Linked DNA regions of Sus scrofa. The protein of the gene in region 2 purifies or fractionates together with the protein of the main gene of each other region. This does not show direct contact. Links are inferred from orthologs where the notes say so. Each region holds a gene or a part of one and is shown on either strand. Other genes may lie near its edges. The genes, in order: POLR2G, RPAP2 and RPRD1A.

Evidence for each region.
Region 1: the proteins of RPAP2 (region 2) and POLR2G purify together in Homo sapiens (affinity purification with mass spectrometry; 5 studies listed by BioGRID and IntAct, counting the BioPlex papers as one, with this or other methods). This does not show direct contact. The link is inferred for Sus scrofa from reciprocal best matches to the Homo sapiens genes RPAP2 and POLR2G.
Region 3: the proteins of RPAP2 (region 2) and RPRD1A purify together in Homo sapiens (affinity purification with mass spectrometry; 3 studies listed by BioGRID and IntAct, with this or other methods). This does not show direct contact. The link is inferred for Sus scrofa from reciprocal best matches to the Homo sapiens genes RPAP2 and RPRD1A.

The regions. Positions count from the first base shown.
Region 1 is NC_010444.4:9,005,802-9,009,998, forward strand, and holds the start of POLR2G (DNA-directed RNA polymerase II subunit RPB7), read right to left. Parts: upstream 2,831-4,197; 5' UTR 2,691-2,830; coding exon 2,679-2,690; intron 2,568-2,678; coding exon 2,458-2,567; intron 1,098-2,457; coding exon 938-1,097; intron 280-937; coding exon 229-279; intron 1-228. UniProt on the Homo sapiens protein: Core component of RNA polymerase II (Pol II), a DNA-dependent RNA polymerase which synthesizes mRNA precursors and many functional non-coding RNAs using the four ribonucleoside triphosphates as substrates.
Region 2 is NC_010446.5:124,756,913-124,760,563, reverse strand, and holds part of RPAP2 (putative RNA polymerase II subunit B1 CTD phosphatase RPAP2), read left to right. Parts: intron 1-638; coding exon 639-737; intron 738-951; coding exon 952-1,017; intron 1,018-3,389; coding exon 3,390-3,478; intron 3,479-3,651.
Region 3 is NC_010448.4:119,799,456-119,803,106, forward strand, and holds part of RPRD1A (regulation of nuclear pre-mRNA domain-containing protein 1A), read right to left. Parts: intron 483-3,651; coding exon 376-482; intron 296-375; coding exon 198-295; intron 1-197. UniProt on the Homo sapiens protein: Interacts with phosphorylated C-terminal heptapeptide repeat domain (CTD) of the largest RNA polymerase II subunit POLR2A, and participates in dephosphorylation of the CTD by RPAP2.

The DNA.
Region 1 (4,197 bases), on a different chromosome or scaffold from region 2:
GGTTAAGGATCCAGGATTATCTCTGCAGCAGCTCAAGTCTCTGCTGGGATGCAGGTTCAATCCCCAGCCCAGCACAATGGATTAAGGGTCCAGCATTGCCACAGCTGTGGCTCCAATTCAATCCTTGACCTGGAAACTTCCACGTGCTCCAGGTGCAGCCCAAAAAAGAAAGAGACGGTCAGGAATGAATGTCTCCTCCTTAGCCCCACCTAGCCCGCCTGGACTTACATGTCGAGAGATGAAGCAGGACATGGGCCCAATTTCTGTGAAGAGTCCGACCTAAAAGGGAAATGAATGACCTAGTTTTTTCTTTTGTCCCCATTGTCTGCTGAGCATCCCGTCTTTATCTGCATCCTAATAATAGTCTTCATGTTTTGAAACCACTCTGAAATTTGGCATTTGTTTTCATTTTTCTCTCCTTTTTCTTTTTTTTTTTTTTATTTTCCCACTGTACAGCAAGGGGGTCAGGTTATCCTTACATGTATACATTACAATTATATTTTTTCCCCCATCTCTCCTTTTTCAAACTTTCACTTTATGTTAACAGAGTGTAGTAGTCAACACCTGAGGCCTCGAACCTGTCTGTCTGGAATCTGAACACTTGTCGGCCACATGACCTTGGCCAGCAGTCTTCTCCAAGCTTCAGTCCGGAGGTAAAAGCACTCGCCTCACAGTCATTGTGAGGCTTTGCACTTCACCTGGTGCACAGGATCTATTCAATCAATGGAAGCTACTGCTCTTTTGACTCTTAATGTTGACTTACATTTTACACCTGCCTGAGTGAGGCAGGACAAGATTCCCATGCCATCTGGCAGGTAAGGACACCTGAAGCACAAAGAGGTGATTTGGCCAAAGACACAGAGTTAGCAAGTAAGAGTTGGGGCCCATCCCAGATTTTCTCAGGACTTCCCATTACCTGCCCTGTGGATGGACTTACCTTGTTGACTTGAGTGACAACAGCATCCACGACCTCCCCTTTAAAGGGCCGGAAAACGATGGCCTTGTACTTAACTGGATAAAGGACAAAGCCTCGGCCTGGCTGGATCACACCAGCACCGATATTGTCAATGGTGGTGACAGCAATTACAAAGCCATACCTGCAGGGAGGATGAGAAAGAGAAAGGTGTGGAAGAGCCTCTAAAACCATCTGCCACAAGAGGAGTTCTGGTTGTGGCTCAGCAGAAACGAATCTAACTGGTATCCATGAGGACACAGGTTCAATCCCTGGCCTCACTCAGTGGGTTCAGGACGCCGGCATTGCTGTGAGCTGTGGTGTAGGTTGCAGATGTGGCTCAAATCCGGCGCTGCTGTGGCTGTGACATAGGCCAGCCGCTACAGTGCCGATTCCTCCCCAGCCTGCGAACCTCCTATGACACAGGTGCAGCCCCCCAAAAAAAGACAAAAAAAAATCTGCCACAAGAGTCACCGAGCCTGGGGGTTAAAGGGCATCACAAAGGGCAAGTAGATGGCACTCCTGGTCCCAGAGAACTTAATGATCAAGAGAGAAGACAGGGCAATGACCAGCATCTACAAAGCCAAATGCTGATCTCATAAGTTCACAATAAGTGTCCAAAAGGGCTGCAGTCCTTGAGCCAAGAGACCTCAATCTCTTTTTAAAATTTATTTGGCCTGTGGCATTCAGAAATTCCCAGGCCAAGCATAGAACCCACGCCACAACAATGACAATGCCAGATACTTAACCTACTGAGCCCAGGTACTTCCACATGCCAAGGGTGCAGCAAAAGAAGAAAAAAAAAAAAAAAAAACATACATATATATATATGAAATGCATATCCCCAGGCCTGTCCCCAGAGATATGGGGATGCTGTAAGGATGACATGAGGCTCAGGAACCTGTATGTTCAAAAGACACCCCCAGTTGCTCTGATGCTGGAGCCCCAAGTACTCCATGGCCCTGCTCATCCTGGTTTGTCTACATCACCAGATGAGAGGTCCCTCTGTGCAGAGCAAAGAGACGGTCAAACGTCAGTGCTCTTCCTTCCTCCCCCTAACTCTCAATCTGCTTTATCCTGGTCACTCCCTCATTCAACACACTTTTAGTGAAGCCCAATGTGCCATGACAGGTCCCTGGGCGTGGGGGATAAAGAAAACCAGCAAAATCCAAAGAGACTATGAGCTCGAGCTGGCCGCTTCTGTCTTTCTCACTGCATTATTCCCAGGGCCCAACACAGAGCCTGGCACACAGCTGGAGATTTGGAAATGTTTGTAAAGTAAATGAATGACCAATCTTGGCTGAGGGAAGTTAGTCCCGTTATCCAGCTTCGCAGAGGGCATCATGGGAACCCGAAGCAGGAAGCAAATGACTGCCTGGGCCGTCTGGGTGGGTGAGAGGGCTCTCCAGGGTAGACAGCACAAACTTTCAGGACTTGAGGAGGGGATGAAGGCACCGGGCGCCGAGGGCGCACTGCTCAGGCAGCACGGAGAGCGGGACACTCACTTGCCGGTGCAGGTCCCCTCCACTTCAGTGAAGAGCTTTTGTTTCACGGTGTTAAGAAGGTTGGGGCCGAAGTAGCGCGGATGCAGCAGGATCTCGTGCTCCAGGGAGATCTGCGGAGAACGTGGGATGGAGACCAGGCAAGAAGCGGCCCCCTACTCCCGGCCTTCCGCTTCGCTCCTCCTCTCGACCCTACCCTTGCCGCCACCCCGGGCCCTGCTCACATGGTAGAACATCTTCCCGGAGGAGGCTGGACAGCAGCCAGGCCGAGAGCAGCCAGGCTTAAAACAGCGACAGCAGCAGCAGCAAAACCCCCGGCAGGACCGGAAGTACACCAACCTCCCCAATCCCGCTTCCGGGCCTGCCCCAGAGAGGTGGGCGGGAACACGTCTCGTCTGCGGACTTGATTGGGCCCCGTTTTCGTGGGCGGGGAAATCCACGAAGCTCCTCCCCCTTCGTCCAGTCCACCCTCTGTAAAAGCACAGGACGCTCACAAATTAGCAAGGCCAGGTCTAGACAAGAAGTTCAAACGGTGGATTTAATTAATGAGAGACGTCATAAATAAAGCGCTTTAGCAGAATATATTCATTCAGCAAACAGTTGAAGACTGCTTTCACAGAGTAAGCATAATAACTATCTGTTCTTATCTGGAGAGAACGGAGGCCAGGACCACAGCAGCCCTGACCCCTCTCCTTCCCTCTTTTTGAAGCCAGCCTCCCTGCAAGAGCAAACTTACCTGCTGACAGTGGTGTGCTGGAGCCCCTGCAAAAGCCAACTGTTACTATTTCAGGAATTTTGCAAGCTAATTCTTAAACACAGCCATTATTAAAATGTAATTGTCTTAAAATTAAATGAATATTTGAAAAAAAAAAAAAGGCAGCGGTGCAGATGAAACAAGTTTGGCAATGACTTTTTTTTTTTTTTTTTTTTTTTTTTGGTCTTTTTAGGCCTGCACCCGTGGCATATGAAGGTTTCCAGGCCAGAGGTCGAATCAGAGCTGTAGCCATGGAACTGCGTGTGCCACAGCCACAGCAATCCCACATCCGAGCCCCCTCTGCTAGCTACACCACAGCTCAGGGCAATGCGGATTCTTAACACATTGAGCGAGACCAGGGATCAAACCTGAGTCCTCATGGATGCTTAGATGCGTTTCTGCTGAGCCAGGAGGGGAACTCCAGGCGATGTATTAATGATTGTTGAAGCCAGATGATGGATAAACTGTGGCTTTTTATATGTTTCCTTCTACTTTTGTATGTTTAAAATTGATCATAATAGAGAGTTTCCATCGTGGCTCAGTGGTAACAAATCTGACTGGTATCCATGAGGACTCTGGTTAGATCCCTGTCCTCAATCAGTGGGTAAGGATCCGGCGTTACTGTGAGCTGTGGTGTAGCTTGTAGACGCCGCTCAGATCTGTTGTTGCTGTGGCTGTGGTGTAGGCCGACAGCTACAGCTTCAGTTGGACCCTGGCCTGGGGACATCCATATGCTGCAGGTGCAGCCCTTAAAAAAAAAAAAAGTTCAGGAGTTCCCGTCGTGGCGCAGTGGTTAACGAATCCGACTAGGAACCATGAGGTTGCGGGTTCGGTCCCTGCCCTTGCTCAGTGGGTTAACGATCCGGCGTTGCCGTGAGCTGTGGTGTAGGTTGCAGACGCGGCTCGGATCTCGGATCCCGCATTGCTGTGGCTCTGGCGTAGGCCTGTGGCTACAGCTCCGATTCAACCCCTAGCCTGGGAACCTCCAT
Region 2 (3,651 bases):
TTTTTGAGTAATACTTTTTTGGTCTTTTTAGGGCTGCACCTGTGGCATATGGTGGTTCCCAGGCTAGGGGTCGAATCAGAGCTGTAGCTGCTGGCCTATGCCATAGTCAAGCAATGCCAGATGCAAGCTGCATCTGTGACCTACACAACAACTCACAACGTCACCAGATCCTTTAACCCACTGAGCCAGGCCAGGGATTGAACCCATATCCTCATGGGTACTGGTCAGGTTCATTACCACCGAGCCACAATGGGATCTCCTGAGTAATGCTTTTTTTGAAATAAAATACACTATCAGTATTTTCCTTTGTTATAGCAATCACTATAGATTACTTTTTCCTCCTGCCTCAGAATTATTTCATGAATTTTATAATCTACAAAGATGCATAGCAGAAATTTGGGGGGGGTTTGTGAGTTTTTTTAAATAATAGCTAACTAACATTTTTTGAGTATTTACTGTGTGTTGAGAAGCACTTTTCTGAGTGCTTTTCCTTTATTTTCTCCTCTGTTTCTAACATCACACCTGTGAGATAGGTACTGTTCTGATCCCTGTGTTTTCAGATGAGACTGACGAGGCTTAGAGAGCTGATAAATTTTTCCAGTCATCTGATGGGAAATGTCCATATCATTTCACTGCAGGGGAAGTTCATCACACCTGCTCACTACAGTGACGTCGTGGACGAGCGTGCTATTATCAAACTCTGCGGCTATCCCTTATGTCAGAAGAAGCTAGGAATTGTAAGTAACTACTTTTTTTTTTTAAGATGTAGACTATTAATTTTTATATTTAGCAAAAAAAATTGTGTAGAAAGAGTAATAAATGAAACTGAGGTCATGAACGAATGACATGGGTTAGCCTAAGATATGCTCCATAGATGACTTAATCTTGGTAACTATGAAGTTCATGTTTATTACTTGAATTTTTTTGTAAGCTGTATTTTCTTTTCTTTAGGTACCAAAACAGAAATACAAAATTTCTACCAGAACCAATAAAGTCTATGATATTACTGAAAGAAAGGTAAGTTTAAAGGCATTTTCAATGTGGCAGTGGATATATAATATTACACTAAATGGGATTCTAAAAATAGGCCTTTAAATTTTCGCCTTGTAGAAAATAGCCATATTAAGAGTTTTTCATTTGTAAATAATTTCATTCAAAATGTTAAAAAAAAAAAAAAAGAAGAAAACTCTTTGCTTACACTTTAGTTGATATACAGACCTTTAAAAATTAAAGGTGCATATTGGCACAAATTCAGGCAAGTGAATCATAGAACAGAACAGAGGGCCAGAAACAGAGGCACTCCTTACATGGACACTGGGTATATGACATCAGGAGTATTTTAGATCAGTGGAGAGAGGATGAATTTTTAATTTTTTTATTTTTGGGGGTGAAGGAGAAAAAGGTAGCTTTATTGCTTTACCAGGTGAAGGGGGCCACAGCAGGCTAATGTAATGCCTTAAAGACTGTGCCCAAGGATGGATTTTTAAATACATAGTAGTGGCACAATTATCCATTCCAAAAAAGTGAAAACTCTATCTCTGTGTATATAACAAGCTCACTTTTAGGTAGATTAAGAACCCAAATGTAAAAGACAAACCTTCTCAAAGACATTATGGGAGAATATCTTTATCAACTTCAACTAGAGAGAATTTCTTAAATAAATAGAAAATTATAGACCATAGACTAGAAACAATTGAAAATGTTTGCTTATTAGAAGTTTCTAAAAAAGAGTGAAAAGGTAAGCTACAAATCAGGAGTTATACTTCTCACATATAACTGCCCACAGATTCATAACTAGAACACATCATCTATAAAAAAAGGTAAAAAACTTGATTAAAAAATTTTTATGGAAGGAATCTGAATGGTTCATGAATATATGAAGGATGCTCCAGCCTCATCAGTAGTTAGGAAAACAGCAAATAAAAACACACTGAGTTACATTTTTGCAGCCCCTAAAGTAGCAAAATTTTAGAAATCTGACGATATTAGTAACTCTTTATACTCTGGTCCAATAAGAATTGGTACAATCTTTTTGAGAAGCAGCTTGGCAGAGTCAAATAGGTGGTCAAGTTTACACGGTCTTTGTGGCCATTCTCCTCTTCTTCTGTGTCCACCCTTGTCCGTGTGCACTAACCTATACGTACATAGTGGGGAGGGTGTGAGTGTTCCTCGTAGGGTGAGCAAAATATGTACACACATAGCACGGACTGTTACATGGTCTTAAAAGGGAAGGAAATTTGGGCACAAGCTGCAACTGAATGATCTGAAAACATTATGCTAAGTAAGAGAAGGCAGCACAAAAGACAAAATACTATACGATTCTACTTATATGAGGTAATGTGTAGTCAAATTTGTAGAGACAGACAGTAGACTTGTGTTTGTCAGTCGGGGAGGTGAAAATGGGGAGTTATTGTTTAATATGTATAGAGTTTCACTCTTGCAAGATGAAGAGAGTTCTGGAGATGGATGATGGTGACAGTTGCACAACAGTAAGAAAGCACTTAATGCCTCTGAATTGTACAGGTAAAAATGCTTCGATGATAAATTTTGTGTATTATACCACGGTTTTTAATTTAAAAAATTATAATTAAAAAAAGGTTCATAGTAACATTGTAATGATAACTAAAAGTTAAAACTCAGCCTTAACAGTAACTAAAGGGGAGTTCCCTTCGTGGCGCAGTGGTTAACGAATCCGACTAGGAACCATGAGGTTGACGGTTCGGTCCCTGCTCTTGCTCAGTGGGTTGACGATCCGGCGTTGCCGTGAGCTGTGGTGTAGGTCGCAGACACGGCTCGGATCCCATGTTGCTGTGGCTCTGGTGTAGGCCGGTGGGTACAGCTCCGATTGGACCCCTAGCCTGGGAACCTCCATATGCCGCGGGAGCGGCCCAAGAAATAGCAAAAAAAAAAAAAAAAAAAAAACAGTAACTAAAGGGTGGAATACTTAGGCATTGACATATAATACACTGTATAAATGAATAAACTATACCTACACAAATGAATCTCAAAAACATAACATGGAAGAGAGGACTCTAGGAATATGTAACTATATGGTTCCATGTAGACAAAGTTTAAAGGTAAGCAGAACTGAATGATGTATTTTATAGGAAATGTATGTGGGTAGCAAAACTGAAGGAAAGCAAAGGAGTAACGCAGAACCCGTGATGATAGTGGTTGCCTCTGGGGAACTCGGAGAGAGATGCCATCAGGGAGGGACACGTAGAAGCCTGCAAGGTTCTCTACTTTCCTTCTTACCCTGGCTGGGAGATTCAGTGGATTTCGTTTTTTTTTCTCTGAACTACATATTTATATTTTATATTCTCTTGTGCATGTAAGGTGTGTTTCACAATAAGAAAAATAATTTGCTGGTTTTTAAATGTTCTTTTCAGTGTTTTTGCAGCAATTTTTGTTATAAAGCATCTAAGCTTTTCCAAGCACAAATTCCTAAAACTCCAGTGTGGGTTCGAGAAGAAGAAAGGTAATTTAAATCATTCCATATACGTTTATTCATGTATTCTAATAATTTCTTTCTGCCTTTTGAGATATGTAGAGAACAGGTCTGATTTTCTTTGGGATGCATTTACTGTATACATTTTAGTTGTGGGGAAATGGTTGTATCTCAAGCAGAACTATTAAGGATTTTACACTTAA
Region 3 (3,651 bases), on a different chromosome or scaffold from region 2:
TATATAATATACAACATACTACATTAAACTAGAGCAATTTATTAATCAGAAAGTAAGACTTATTCATACAGCTTCTTTCTGGTACTCAGAACTATAATAAAAGTCAATATATAGAAGTAAAACACTGAAATTAATAAAGCTTCGTGAGTACATGAGGTACTAGTAATGTAACTCCTTTTACAGAGTAAAACTGCTACCTGTGGTGGTTCACTTGGAGATCCTAGAGAGGAACAGTTCTCATTCTCATCCACCTGTATCTGTTCATAAGTTCGCTTCCTAGGCTTCTTATCACCATCTGAATTGAAAAAATTGAAAAAGTTTTAAGGAGAGAATACATTTTAATGAAGAGACAATGATAAAAGATTATATACTTACAAAGAGCTTGCTTAAGTTGTTCTAATACATCATTTTCATAAACAGACCTTTCTTCCCAAATAGATAACACTCTTCCAAGGTGCTTCTTACAACTTTCATCAGTTTCACTAAAGAAAAGATACACATATTAACAGTAAAAGTGCATAGTGCTACTGCAAAAATAATGGTGATTTTAAATACAATGGCACTCATTCCCTGAAAAAAGTTGACCAACGTTTGCTGAGTACCACAATGTGATCAGCAGTTCAGGGGTGAAGTGACCAAGACAGACATACTCCCCACTTTCCTTAAAGAGCTTAGAGAGACATTATTAAACAAAGAAATTACCAAAAAATAGTAGAGGTGACTAGGGGTTATCAAGAAACCCCTAACCTAATGGGGCTGCACATGCAGATAAGAAAGATTTCTGGAGTTCCCGTCATGGCACAGCAGAAATGAATCGGACTAGGAACCATGAGGTTATGGGTTCGATCCCTGGCCTCGCTCAATGGATTAAGGATCCAAGGATCCGGCGTTGCCGTGAGCAGTGGTGTAGGTCACAGACTCGGCTTGGATCCCGCATTGCTGTGGCTCTGGGATAGGCTGGAAGCTATAGCTCCAATTGGACTCCTAGCCTGGGAACCTCCATATGCCATGGGTGTGGCCCTAGAAAAGACAAAAAGACAAAAAAAAAAAAAAAAAAAAAAAAAGAGAGAGAAAGATTTCTAATGGGTGATTTTTAAACTTATGTAACAAATATTTATTGATCAAAGTACTACCTCTGATAACTAGTGATACAAACGGAGCTTTATGGCAGCTGTTAAGTGCCACAAAAGAGAACTGGGTGTTAAACACAGGCATAACAGAGATTTGGTTCAATTCAAAAGCGATCAGGAAGGGTATCTGAGGAAATGATACATTTAATCTGAGTTCTCAGGACTGGATATACAGAGAAGTGGGAAACAGGCTATTTCCAACCACTTCCCACTGCCTTCATCACCACCACCACTGTAGACTGAGCCACTATTATCTCTTGCCTGGATTTCTATAACAGTCTTCTTATTGGTCTTGCAGGCTCTACTCTTTCATTCTATTTCCCACTAATGTAAATTAGATTATACTCTCAATCCTCTAAGAACCACCAATCATATCAAAAATAAAAGTGAAATCCTTAACCTGGGCCACAAAGTGGACATGTTGTTTCCTAGCTACCTTTCTGCCCACATTTTCTAAATACAATTCTCCCTACTGATTCTCAAACATTACAGCATGTGGCTCTCTCACTGTTTCTGCCACTGTTTTCTCTACCTAGGATCCTTTCCTCCCAGATAGTCAAATGGCTCTTTTCATCCCTCTGTTCAAATACCACCTCCCCCAAACAGTCCATCTTTACTCATGAAATAACTGACTATCATCATACTCTCTAGTTCCTTCCTTGCTTTATGTTTCTTCACAGTACTTATCTTTTGACACTGTAAGATGTATTTACTTGTTTATCTAGTTATTACCTTTGTCATCCACTGAAAACGTAGGCTCCACTAGAAGAGAACTTTGCCTTGTTCACTACATAGTAGGTAGTCAATAAATCTTTTATTAAACTCTAGGAAGGGGCATTATATATTTAAAAAAAAAAAAAAGCCTAAGGCAGAAAGGACTAAAAGAGGTTTGATTAGCTTAAACTGTGTAGACTATATATATGCATGGGGGAAAAATGGGGGAATCCCAAGAAGTAGACTAGGCCATGAAGGAACACCTGAAGTCTTACTCAGGACCTGAGAACAACTCAAAGGCAAGAGAGTATTATGAACAGCCTGCAACTCTGGCTACAGTTTCCTACATGGATTTGCAGGCTACTGCAATAACAGAGAAATGCCATTATGGTAACTGGAATGGAAAGAACTCTAAAGAACTGAGGGAACCATATGTACACATGGGATAAGGGGAGCGAAGAAGAAAGGACAGTGTGATATATTACAAATCACTACATCACACAGAGTTCAAGATAACACCTGATTTCTCAAAGGGGCATCCAGAGAGATGGAGCTGCCATTCATCAAGAGAGTGAACCCAGAGGAGGACCAAGTCTGTCAGGGAGGAAGGACATGAGTTCAATAACAGTGAGTCTGAGATGGCTGGAGGCATCCAACTAGAAATTCGATAGGCGGAAGTTCTCTTATGGCATGGCAGGTTAAGGATCCAGTGTTGCCATAGCTGTGGTGCAGGTCGTAATTGTGGCTTGGGTTAGATCTCTGGCCCAGGAACTCCCACATGCCATGGGTGTGGCAAAAAAAAGAAGAAAGAAATTCAATAGGCAACTGGATATACAGGACTAAAACAATGGAAAAATATCTGGACTGGAATGTAAGACTGTCAATTTTTATTTTTATTAAACTGATTGCATGTAATGTATGTATGTATCACCCCGAGGGCTAGTAAAGAATATGACACCAGAAGAAGGCCTAGGACTCAACTCTTAAAAAACAGCAGCACCTGAAAAGATGGTAAAAGACAGCATCTAAGTTGAAGGGTAAATAATATTAGTTTAAGAAAGCAATGTATAGCAGTGTTTCACACTGAAATTTTTAAAAATGCATCTACTGTGATTACACCTGCAGGGCATGTGGTGAGTATATTTTCATCCTTAAATCATTCAACATAGATCATCATTCAACCCTGAATTCTATAATTTAGATCATAATTTTATAACTATTAAAATTATAACTAAATTTATAATTGAATTATAAATCTAAATTATCACCTACCTCAATAATATTTATCCAGTAATCTACCATATACTTGCATATAATGTTTGGAAATATACAGACCTCTACCTTCAGCGTTTTTCTGTAGCAAAATTTTCAACAGGTTTGTGATTATCTTAAATATTCCATATTTCCAAAGCATTTTAAAATGTTATACGTACCCACACACTAGAAAACCTTAAAATTATTATAGTACTAAGTTTTACCAGCAGGATTAGTTGGAAGATTGATAGTTTTATAAGCACAGAAGTTTTCAATATAACAGATTCATTCATTCTTAGTGAATTTTATTCCAATATGGCAGTTGCTTCTGGTCACTTAAGGAAAACGTACTTGAAACGCCCACCTTAGCCAAAAAATTTTTCATACTTGAGTACAGCAAGTATTCAACACATTTACAAATGCCATTATAGGTAAGTCTTTTTCAAACGAAAACGTCAAAGAAATATATTGTTTTTTATTTTAATGTCTTAAAGCAAGTTTTAGCAAAAGGACATATTAGGCATTTAAAACAGATCCCCTAGTACCAAAACAA